Arabidopsis thaliana: one gene and its partner. The protein of the gene in region 1 purifies or fractionates together with the protein of each later gene. This does not show direct contact. Each region holds a gene or a part of one and is shown on either strand. Other genes may lie near its edges.

Region 1 (6,530 bases):
TGTGCTCAAACGATTTCTAGTGTTCTTGTCTATCAACTTAACAATCCTCTCCGTTGTCGAAGACAGTTCGTCGTGTCTTCTATCATTTCTTTCTTGCCATATGGAGTGAATTGTGTTCTATAGGACATACTTGAGAATGAACCGCTCATTATGTCTAAGTCTTTTCCTGCAACGAGCCTCATAATATCTTGCCATTTTGCCGAGAAGTCATTTAAGAGAATCCCTTGTGTAAGCTCCTCCCAAACCTTGCTTGAAAAGGGACATTGGGAAAATAAATGGTCTCTGGTCTCTATGTGAATTTTGCAAAACACACCGCTCGAGTCTACATTTTGTTTCCATTTACTCATTCGGTCCCCTGTTGCAAGCCTATTTTTCACCATCAGCCATGTAACAAAAGCAAACTTTGGGGTTGCATTTTGAAACCAAACTAAGCTTGTCAACCTCAAACGATCTCTAATCCAATGACCAGGCGGAATCCTCAAATAGAATCATTATCATTTATCAATACAGAAAATTTTGACTGTAACGAAGGAAATGCTATAGTTTCCTTGTGATTGTTTATAAAATGACTGATTTAAATACTTTCTTGTACAGAGATGCTCATAATGTGGTAGTTATGACTTTTCTGTATTTTCATTACTTAAAAAGGGATACAGGAAACTAACCTGCTGCTAAAATGTACATATGATGAACATGTTTTTTGAATTTGCTGATTAAATTAACTCAGTCGAACCTAAATTGAATCTAAATTAGATTAGACAAAATGAAACAACATCCATTCTATACTAAATTGAGAATTCACTGCTTAGTACCTGATGGTATTATCAAAACCAACCTATCCGAGTTATAAACCAGAGACACCAAAATAAGAGAAAAATTGAAAACCTGAGAACCATAGTTTACGTTCCATATTAATAACTTAGTTGTTGTAAGATCCAAAATAACACATCGCAATAGGTACGTTCCACAAATATTGCGTACAAAATAAGGCACTAGAGTTTTTTTTTACTAAAGAGTTCTTTGGTACCAACTTCACCTGATGGTCGCAGAAACTGTTGCGTCAGTGTCCAACTTGATCCTTTTCTTCGGTTGCTCAGAATCTTCTTCAGGGGTGGTGCCTGAGCATTCACCTTCATCTTCATCTTCAAGCTCTGCGGTGTCCTCTTCCTGGGTCTTTAGCTTCTCTATCACCTCCGCTACTTCTCTGTTGACCTGTTTACACACATTTCACCAAAGAGATTATTCCTCAATTTCTGTGATCATAAAAATGGTAACTATCGTATGATCAGATCTGCTAAAGTTTCACTTTCCATGAATGGAAAGCATCAAATAAGTGTATGCTTGCAGATAACGAACTAAAATCAGACATATTACCATTGAACCAACTTCATCTTATTCTAGCAGAGTCAAAATCAATGCTGATGCAATTTGCACTTGTATTCATATGATATGATATGAAAGAAGAAGAAGATAGATGATGTTTCACCTGAGGGTTCTGCAGAAAATCAGATATGTCTGTTGGGCAACAAGGGCAGTTCAGGACATTCTTCCTTGAGCGTAGTGTCCGTCCACCTGTGCTTCTCTCTCTCACAAGAGTTTTCCCAGCAAATTTCGCTTCTAAGCAAGCCTTGCAGAAGTTATGAGCACAGGGTGTTGTCACAGGAAGAGTCAACACTTGCTGACAGATCTGGCACTTAAATTCTGCATCAACAAAATACCAATGACAGTTTAGATGGATTCGGGAATAAAGCTATATAAAGAAAGAGCTGGATATATGTGGTTCATATTAATATTTAGCAGAACCAATTTGGAAACATTGACTTACTGATTCTAAAAGTTCTCATGCAGTCTAGAAATATATACATAATGTACTAGAACTGATTCGGCAAAAAGGGAAAAAAACTATAAACGTTCTAACAGCAGAGGTAGAGAATTTGGACACACTGACCTTTCAGAAGTCTTGCCCTCATGGTATTCGAGTGTGCCGCCTTTATGGCTTTCCTCAAATTTTTCCTCTCCTCAGGAGCCAAAACATTCACTGACTTTTTACTTGCAGGTGGCGGCTTCATCCATTTCCAACAACCCTCACCTTCCTGGTCAAGTAGGCCTATATTATCAGTGGGTCCAGATAAAGAACTGTTAAAACTGAGATGTCTTGGAACTTACATCAAAATCCCATGATGGAGTTTCTTTTCTCTCAAACAGGTCGGTGGCCATATTAAGCTCTGGAATATTAGGGATAGGTCTTGGACGATCTCCATTCTCATCACTGCAAAATATCACATCATTAACTTAAATGGCAACTATATATGGAGAAAAGGCCCACGATTTTAAGAAGTAGACCAAACCTGGTCCATGGAGCTGGCTCATTGTCACATCTAACGAACAGGTAACGACAGACCTTAAAAGAACCCTATGGAAACCAGAAGAATAGGTCAATGCATAAAAAGAACTGTGAAAATTCACATTAATTAGATATGTGTACCTGTACTCCAACTTTGCGCCAGCACTTCTCAATCCTGTAAACCCCATCATATCTCACTCCTTCCTCAGGGGCGTATGCAGAACGCTTCTCCTTGTGAGACCTGATGATCATAAATGGAAAAGGGTAATTGAAGAGTTAGGATCACTAAAGCATGCTCAAAGCTTCAAGTTGAAGAGTAATAAAGACGTTGCATTCAATGGAGTTGTGCTCAAATAACAGCTAACCTGACAACTCGAACAGGATACCCCAATTTGCAGCTGAGTTTTAATGCTGCATTAGACTTCTCAAACTTTTGGTCAAAAGACTGCTCCTTGTTAGTCCTTTTGTTGCCACTGAGATCTCTACCCCCACTGTGTGACACATCCCCACATAATCAGGAGAAAAAGAGACATGTCCATCAGTAAATTGGAGAATAGCTATTTCTATACGCATGAGAGAACTAAAATATACAAAAATATATAAGGAACAATAATAAATCAAGATTATTGATTCGAGACGCATAATAAAGAGTATTGTTTCTATACCCAATCCGTAGAATAAATCAAATGGACCAAAATCTAGGAGTAATGAAAGGCAGACCTTCCTGTGTATAGAAACCATTCTCCATGATCCTCATCATCCTTATAACCTCCAGAGAGTGCTACAGATTGAGCGCCATAAGTAGATTGTCCAGCAATGCCAGCAACATGTGGGAAATGAGCACCCCACTGCCTACACTCGAGTCTGTCCTCCCAGGATTCTCCAACCAAAAGACCTTGGTTCCTGACAGGGTCATTTTCAGCTGGAATAGGACCAAAATGATCTGGTGGTATTGTAACATAAATCTTTCCACTAGCAGCGTTTGCCTTGCCAGTTTTCTTTGCACGCTCGGTTGTAAATGCTTTATCTGGTCGGTCTTGGTTGCTGATGAAATGAAAGACCTTTGAAGTGGTCGCAGCAGCACTTTTAGAGACTTTTGCTAATCGAATGGCAGCAACAAGAGACGAGTTGATACGGGGATTCTTAGCCATTTTTTCAGGAATTATGCTGCGGCATTTACCACAAGTTCTCTTTCCCTGCCCCATCCATTTCTCAAAACATTTTAAGCAAGCGTTGTGCCCACATGGTTTCTGAAAAACAAACACACAAGATTTCCATCAGCCCAAGATAAATAGTCTCCATCTTCATCAATAATCCTTACTTTGAAAAGAGGTACAGTACACACCATATTAAATACTCATAAAAAGCAACGTTTATGGTTTCATAAAATAGATCAACCATCCACATACCAATCCTAACAATTTTCAACAACACAATAGATTACTCAAACTAAATAATCCAACCCAATAACAGGATAACTCAACAACAATGAACTATAAATGTAGGTAACATTGACACATTCTGTCACAAATGGTAAAGATCAATGAAGTCAAAGCCTTTGTAAAACAGTTAAAGGAACCATTTATGATGTCAATAAAGTTTATGCCTTTGTATCACGCAGCTTTAGTGTTCTATGTCACAAGCTCAAATCAGTAAACCAAGTGGATAATAAACAATCACACCCCACTTAAGAAGACACCCTAAATAAGATTCCAGGTTTAACAGATTCACCAAAAGAGATCTATCAACAAAGCATAAGAACAAAGAGAACGAACCGTCACAGGTCTCTCAGGCAACTGCATACAGAAAGAACACATCAAGTTATCTCCAAGAGCAGATAACACATCCAGATTCGGATTCTTCCCTTTCCCCTTCTTCTTCCTCTTCTCTTCTTCATCATCCTCCTCAACACCTTTACCACTCAGTAACCGTTGCCTCATCTTAGCTTTCTCTTCAGTACTCAACGACTCATCAGCCTCAATCGCACGAATCGCAGCTACAAGATCTGACCCAGCAGATTCGAAACCAGTAGCACCGCCGGAAACAGGAAGAGGATCGATTTCGCCGGAGCAATCAGGACAATGCCACTGTAGAGTGGAAGCTAGGGTTTTGGGAGGTGAAGAGAGACAGGACACGTGCCACGGTGTAACGCACGTGCCGCAAGTGAGAGATTCTTCAGGCGGAGGGTTGGATTTGCATCGCATGCATACGCCGTCGCCGTCGCAGGGGAGTTGGATGTCACGCGCCATTTTTGGGGGAAAAAAGATCAGAGAGTGAGAAAATGGTGTTTCCGAGATTTTGAGAGATGGAGAGAGAGGAAGGTTCTAGAGAATTGGGAATAAAAAGAGTGGGAAACGAAATACTGAAGAGGCGGGTGTTTGAAATATTTTGGGAAAGGACGAGAGCGTCTTTGAAATTCAAAACGATACCCAAAAGATTTTTTTGGCTATGTGTTGTCTTGTCACTAGGTTTTTTTTTTTAATATCATCATATCAAGGTCAGAAATATTTTCGGAAATCTGATTATTACATATTTGCCATTGTCGGAATAATATCATTCATTTATTAATTAGGTAATGATTTTTAAAAATTCGGGATTAAAATTGTTCATCTAATTTTATGAAGAATTATTTATTAGTCACTAATTTGATGTTCAACAGAAACTAATATCAACCTTCTTTTTAAAATTTATTATTTTGAAATTGTAAATGGTTTATATCGATTTGCAAAAACTATTTTGATGGTATACAATGTTGCATTACAAGATCTTGGTAAATGGTTCACAACACCGTTTACCAGCAAAATACATATAATATTTTTTTATTTGTTTTTAAAGATTTTAGATAATGAAACATTTCATGTGTTATAAACACGTTATCCGTGATAGCTCTCTTAGTAACAAATGTAGGTAATATACACGGTTATAACGGTTATAACAGTGAATAATGATAACGATAATGGTGACTTGGTAGTGGACATGACTGTGTAATAATATAGGTGATAGCTGTTAGAATAGAATAGAAATACAAGAAAAAAAAAAACACATTAAGAAAAAAAGAAAAAGACAAGAAATCAGATTAAACAAATTCAACATAAATGTACATATATATTAGATTCACAAAATAGAATGATACAAAGTTACAAGTAAAATACAGCTATCTTAAGCACTATTTTACTTGTAATGTCTGACTAATGTCTTGACAAGAGTGCTTAAGTAATATTTCTGGTCCAGTAACCGACGGTAGTAGTGATTGCTGTGTACGGTCAGATGCTGATCATTTGGTAGTTTCCACCATGTTTTCTACCAGTACTTAGAATGATAAAATAATAAACTATGCCGCCAAAACGTATAGAAGAAGAAAGATAACGTGATGGGCAAGTTCTATATTTGGATATGATCGGATCTTATTGGTTTGATGATGCTATTCTCAATTTGATTTTTGTTTTATTTGGACCTTTGGCCTACTTTGAATAATAAATAATATTTATTATAACAGAAGCAAATTTATGACAATAACCCTGCACTTAATTATTCTTATAACTTATTTTTGAAATCAAATTTTACTAGATCGTGCTATGAGTAGCATTTAAAATCAGTATAACAGTACTCGATTTGTAAGAAATTCCTTAGAATATCCCTTGGAGCTGAAGAAATAATCAACATCTTTGTAAGTCAAATATTTATCTCCACACGAGTTTAATTTGTGTTGGCAATTTATGTCTACCACTAATTATGTGATTTTTGTTTGTCCCCTCTTTATGAGACGTGGTGAATAGTGAGCATAATACCTGAAAGTGAACGAGAAACGTCATCAAAAGCGACCAAAATATATAACCAAACGCTCACTTTATTCCTACTGATCAATGTATAACAAAAAAACAAAACCACCACGCTAACTTTTAATTATACTTATATTCATTAATTTTCAATAATTCACTATCTCTAGAAATCGAACCCCAACCTATATATATTGTAAAAGAACTTACACAACTCTTCTAGGTTAGTTTAAAATTCAAATTGATTTGCAATGTAGAATTTTCAACATTAGAGTTTTAGTATGAAGAAGTTTTGAGTACAACTGATTTCGCCTCATTAGTTGATTACAAATCATCATAATAATAACTGACATATCATCATTTAGGTCATATTCTTATTATTTATTCATTAAATACCAATACTATGTGTT
Region 2 (5,750 bases), about 21 Mb from region 1:
ACTACATGGAACAGTCACTTTGCAGATAGGATATGGTGTTAGACATTTAGCTTGATACAATTAATTAATGTTTAACAACAAGGTTTAAAGGCAACGAGAGCTATATCTAATAAGATGTGGTCTAAGACATATGAGACCTGATACATGGAGAATCACTCATTTATAAATTTCTGGTATATTAACGACATTTTGTGTCTAAAAAATTAGCTATTATAATGAATATGGTCTAAAATTGAATTTAAATTAACAAAACTATCTATAAAGTTTGAAACGATCTTACCTAATCAAAACAAATAATTATCTAAGCAATCTGTTTTGTTTTGTTCGGATTATATAGGTCCCCAAAACGTCATACAATAAAACTTGCTTAAATATTTTGTTTTTTTGTTACATTAAAAAATTAGTATCTTGTTGTGTTTTTGTTTGGTTTGAAAAGCTGAAAATGTGTGAAGGAGAAGAAGGAAGCTATAAAAAAGAGTTTAGGTACAAAAGTAAAAAGTTATTATGTCGGTGGGTTCATTAAAAGAAACCAAAAAACATAAACAAGTAATTTTGTTTTGGCATAACGAAGCATCTTCTTCTTCTTCCTTGTATTTATTATCCATTTCCAGAGATTCTCCCTTGTGAGATAACAACGAAGAACGAAAGAGAGAGAGAGAGAGAGAGATATGATGGACGGCGTTGAAGGCGGCACGGCGATGTACGGTGGTCTCGAGACGGTGCAATACGTACGGACGCATCATCAACATCTGTGCAGAGAAAACCAGTGTACCTCTGCTCTTGTCAAACACATCAAAGCTCCTCTTCATCTCGTAAGCTTCTCCAATCTACCACTAATTTCACCCTTTTCGTACCATTTTCTCCATGATCCGTCAATTTTGATCCCAACCATCGATTTAGGGTTTTTTCCCCCAAATCTCTGTTTAACGATTGATTATAATTGATTTTTTTTAGGTTTGGTCACTTGTACGGAGATTTGATCAGCCGCAGAAATACAAACCGTTTGTGAGCAGATGTACAGTAATCGGTGATCCTGAAATCGGCAGTCTTAGAGAAGTCAATGTTAAATCTGGTCTTCCTGCAACAACATCTACTGAGAGATTAGAACTTCTTGATGATGAAGAACACATCCTCGGTATCAAAATCATCGGTGGTGATCACAGACTTAAGGTACAGCGAGAGAAATCAAATCTCATTGATGTTTGTTTATATGCAGATTCTCATTGATTGTTTGTTTGCAGAATTACTCGTCGATTTTGACGGTTCATCCGGAGATAATCGAGGGAAGAGCAGGAACGATGGTGATTGAATCGTTTGTAGTTGATGTTCCTCAAGGTAACACAAAGGATGAGACTTGCTACTTTGTTGAAGCACTTATCAGATGTAATCTCAAGTCACTAGCAGATGTTTCTGAAAGATTGGCTTCTCAGGACATTACTCAGTGAACTACATAATCAATGAACAAGGGCATTGAAGTGAAGTATCAATTCCAGTTTGTGATATAATCAATATTCTTCAGGATTTTTTTGGTTTGGCCTAGATATATATATAGATATCTATCCTCGGTAATGACCAGTCTAAAAAGATGTACATATTGTCCCAATGGTGAAGTTTTGATGTAAGATATCTCCTGGTGGTTTGTTATTTGTAGATATTTTTGTAAACAATGTAAATGTGAATGGTTTATGATGTATAATATATAGTTCACAAAAGATGTTTCTGTAGACTTCAGATTCCACTTCTCTATTGAACAGAACCTATGATTGGATGCTGAGAACTTGTAAAGAATCTGAGGCAGAAAGTTGAAAAACTGTGTCAATTTCATTAACTTGAAAAGATGAGCATAAATTGGGAGAGAGAGAGAGAGACAAAGATTTTGAATTGAGGTTTAACGGTAAAACACACAAAACCTATTCCCCTCTGTTTCCAATTTTCATCTAAACAAACAGGTACATATTTGAATGTAATATTGTATACAGACCAGGGGTAAAACAGGAACTAAAGAAGGCTAACAATCGAGTCGAACCCTCTATGTGAAGCCACAGGTTTAGTGCAAATTGTAATAAGTTGTTCAGAGAGACTCTTGACTGAAACAAATTGTGAAGCAGATTCGATTTTAAAATCAAAATTTGAGTGTCGAGCGGGAAAGTAAAAGTTCCGCTCCAATCTTCTAATCTTTTCGTATCTAGCGGGAAATTTCTCAGCAGGTGACTTTCATAATCGCAGTTTTCGTCGATTCTCTTTTCCGATTTTACGATTCCTCTCTCTCTCTCATGGTGCGATTTCTCCAGCAGTAAAAATCAATGGCGAGAACCAAGCATCGCGTTACCAGGTCACAACCTCGGAATCAAACTGGTATCTTAAATCTGCTTTCTCTTTCAATTTTTACTTCTGATTTTACCCAGAATTTTAGGTTTTTTATTTCGATTTTGTTAACCCTAGATTTCGAATCTGAAATTTGTAGATGCCGCCGGTGCTTCATCTTCTCAGGCGGCAGGTCCAACTACGGTACGGCATCTTTTTCCGTCTTAGGGTTTCCAATGTTTCTTCCTTTTATCGTTATGATCAAATTTGTTTATCTATCGAAATTGAAGACCCCGACAAGGAGAGGCGGTGAAGGTGGAGATAATACTCAACAAAGTGAGTTTTTTATATTTGAAGTCTTTTTTTTCCCTCTTTTCATCTCTTTTGTTTGTGAAGTTATTCTTTTGTAACATCTGCAGCAAATCCTACAACTTCACCAGCTACTGGTACAAGGGTAAGATTTTTGTGACCATTGCTTATGAACTGCTTCAACTTTGATTTCGTTATTAAGCTGACAAAATTCTCGTTTTGGTTTGTCAAGAGAGGGGCTAAGAGATCCAGACAGGCTATGCCACGAGGTTTGTTTTAAAAAAAAAACCAATCTCTTGTGATATCCCTGAGAATACAGGACACTTAGTGTGTTTAAAACTAATCTTCGGTGTTGTCCTTGTAGGCTCACAGAAGAAGTCTTATCGATACAGGCCAGGAACCGTTGCTCTAAAAGAGATTCGCCATTTCCAGAAGCAGACAAACCTTCTTATTCCGGCTGCCAGTTTCATAAGAGAAGTTAGTTACTCTTTTTCTTACCAGCCATAATAAGTTTCACAGCTTAACAATATTCATATATACTAACAGAGGCACAAGCCTTTTGGTGTTTAATGTGGCTAGTTTTAGGATTTGCACACCCCACACATATCTGAGCATCAATGCAGTGTACATAGTGAGTGATATAGCAATTTAACTAAAATTCAGAGTAATCGTGAGGCCAACCCTCCTTGTTTAAGGAGTGTGTAATCTAGTTTGTCTTTGAGGTTATGAGCTCATAGATTCAGAACCATATGATTCCTGTAGCTACAAAACTCAACATGAATCGTCAGTGATGTGGAAATGCTGATTTGTGTTACAAACAAACTATTTTACATTGTTTTTCCAGGTGAGAAGTATAACCCATATGTTGGCCCCTCCCCAAATCAATCGTTGGACAGCTGAAGCTCTTGTTGCTCTTCAAGAGGTACCAATCCTTCAACTTTTTCTTTATACGAATGTATGAATATAGATATAGAGATAGTCACACATTTCAACTAATGTCATTCCCCTTGATGACCAATCAACCTAATCACACAAATTCTTTGTGGTAGGCGGCAGAAGATTACTTGGTTGGTTTGTTCTCAGATTCAATGCTCTGTGCTATCCATGCAAGACGTGTTACTCTAAGTAAGTACTCTAAAAGAAGACATTTTTCAGTCTCAACTTAGGAATCACAAGCATACATTTTATATCCCTTTGAATCATTAGTTACTTGAATATCATATATAAAATGCTTATCTATATCTGTTTTTTGTTCATATCAGTGAGAAAAGACTTTGAACTTGCACGCCGGCTTGGAGGAAAAGGCAGACCATGGTGATAGAAAACTCACTCACTATTCACATCTCTTACATTGTAAGTGAGGATCGAATAGTTAACAACAAGTGTGTCGTAGGTTGTATAAGGTTATTCTCTCCTTGTCTCTTGGTGATGCATGTCCTTTTATTTTACTAAATGATCTGACCAAAACCTTCTTTTGAAACATAACTGGAAACCCGAATTTGGTTTGATTCCAATATCTAGGCTGTAAAACTTCTTTCTCTATGTGTGTTTCTATCTGCTTTTCGTTGGATCTGATTGTTTTCCATTGAGATTCCACTTGACAAAAACGTTTCTTTCGTTAAGTTCTAACTTCCAAAGGTTCATGTATATATAATTTGAAGCCTCAGTTAGAAAGGGTTGTGATTGAAAGAAGAAAAAAAAAGTAAGAGGAAGATTTGAAAGAACATGTGTTTTGGGAGGGCTTTAGTAGAAATATCTCTCAGACGAGTGACGAGTGGATTCCCAATTACAACTTGTCAAGGCATATTAAAAAGGTTGAGATATCCTTAGCACTTCAAATTTAAATAATTCATATTGATTTTTAGTGATAATTCGCATAAAACATTTGTGATATCATAGTGTTGTCACTAAAAAAAACACTATAAATTTTCGAAAAGCTCGAATTTCGAATTTGGTGATATTTATTTCATTGTCAACTCTTTTAAGTTGCCTCTTTTTCTTGGGTTCTCTATAGTCTCTTTTGTTTTGTTTTTTACATCCTTTATGATCTCTCTCTGTACATTCGTAAAAATTGAATGCAGACCGAAAAAACTAAACAGAAACGAGGATGGCAAAAGTTGGATGCGCCCATGAATCATGCAACACAATGGTCCCAAGTTCCCAACAGATTCATTCGCAAAAATTCAGAGTAGACCGAAAGAAAAAACAAATTGTAGTATTATAAAAAAAAAGAAAGAAAGAGGATGGGTCAAGTGAAGGCGTCATGAATCATGCGATGGTCCCAACAAATTAAATGAAATATAAAATCCACGTGTCATGTTCAGTTGCAACTGCATAGTTTGTTCAGTACGTTGCTGATCAACCTTTTCTTTTTTAAAGTTGATAGATAAATATAATAATAAACCGAACAAAATTTAAAAGAAGCTTTGAATAAAATTTGCGATGTGAATTAATGGAGGAATAAAGGGTATATCCTCGACGTTAAATTAATTTTATATTCATCCCTAACAAACTTTCAACTCAACTTTTGATAGTTCTAACAATATATTTCATTAAATTGACAAAATTTAATTCGATTTGTAATAGATTGGACTTCATAAATGATAATCAAGTGATTCTCCTAATGCTTTTTTTCTTCTTGGGAAAAATGAATACATATATTGACTCTTTTTTTTCATACATATTTGTACTCAACATAGTTGATTTATATCGACTTAATTATGATTTATTCATCTGCGTGTAAATATAAAACATCAAGTAGTATCATTTTAAAAAAAGCAATTAGACAAGAACATGACGGAGCAAATGATGTAATGCAACATGTCTTATGATTCTCATTGGTCCTTAAACGAAATCACTCGAGCATTGCACACATACTGACATATATTGGCTGCCACCCATAAGTTGCTAAATTAATTAATAAGAATAATATTAGTTAAATCCGATTTAAGGAAAACAAAGTACGATATACATCATACACGATTCCTTAATGTGGAAACCGACCAAACCGGTCGTTAAACTTTGCCCTTATAAATACAGAATACACTTCATGTTCTTCCCTTAAAAATCCATCATTCTCTCTTCCTCTCTGCTCTCTCTTTACCTTAAACCGTACCAAACCGTATTGATTGATAATA

Evidence for each region.
Region 2: the proteins of VIM1 (region 1) and HTR12 purify together in Arabidopsis thaliana (affinity purification with western blotting, with the first as the bait; one study listed by BioGRID). This does not show direct contact.

What each region holds. Positions count from the first base shown.
Region 1 is NC_003070.9:21,413,310-21,419,839, forward strand, and holds VIM1 (Zinc finger (C3HC4-type RING finger) family protein), read right to left. Parts: upstream 4,807-6,530; 5' UTR 4,594-4,806; coding exon 4,120-4,593; intron 3,595-4,119; coding exon 3,065-3,594; intron 2,836-3,064; coding exon 2,710-2,835; intron 2,586-2,709; coding exon 2,486-2,585; intron 2,414-2,485; coding exon 2,349-2,413; intron 2,270-2,348; coding exon 2,167-2,269; intron 2,094-2,166; coding exon 1,949-2,093; intron 1,702-1,948; coding exon 1,487-1,701; intron 1,213-1,486; coding exon 1,033-1,212; 3' UTR 813-1,032; exon of another isoform or gene 765-812; intron 734-764; 3' UTR 672-733; downstream 1-671. UniProt on the Arabidopsis thaliana protein: E3 ubiquitin-protein ligase. Participates in CpG methylation-dependent transcriptional regulation and epigenetic transcriptional silencing. Mediates ubiquitination with the E2 ubiquitin-conjugating enzyme UBC11.
Region 2 is NC_003070.9:141,470-147,219, forward strand, and holds HTR12 (Histone superfamily protein), read left to right. Parts: upstream 1-2,019; 5' UTR 2,020-2,207; exon of another isoform or gene 2,208-2,294; 5' UTR 2,295-2,303; coding exon 2,304-2,355; intron 2,356-2,464; coding exon 2,465-2,508; intron 2,509-2,594; coding exon 2,595-2,640; intron 2,641-2,723; coding exon 2,724-2,758; intron 2,759-2,845; coding exon 2,846-2,882; intron 2,883-2,977; coding exon 2,978-3,090; intron 3,091-3,457; coding exon 3,458-3,535; intron 3,536-3,662; coding exon 3,663-3,738; intron 3,739-3,875; coding exon 3,876-3,931; 3' UTR 3,932-3,966; exon of another isoform or gene 3,967-4,573; intron 4,574-4,694; 3' UTR 4,695-5,010; downstream 5,011-5,750. Other genes in the region: RCAR1 (regulatory component of ABA receptor 1), read left to right, coding at 669-812, 955-1,170, 1,242-1,445. UniProt on the Arabidopsis thaliana protein: Histone H3-like variant which exclusively replaces conventional H3 in the nucleosome core of centromeric chromatin at the inner plate of the kinetochore.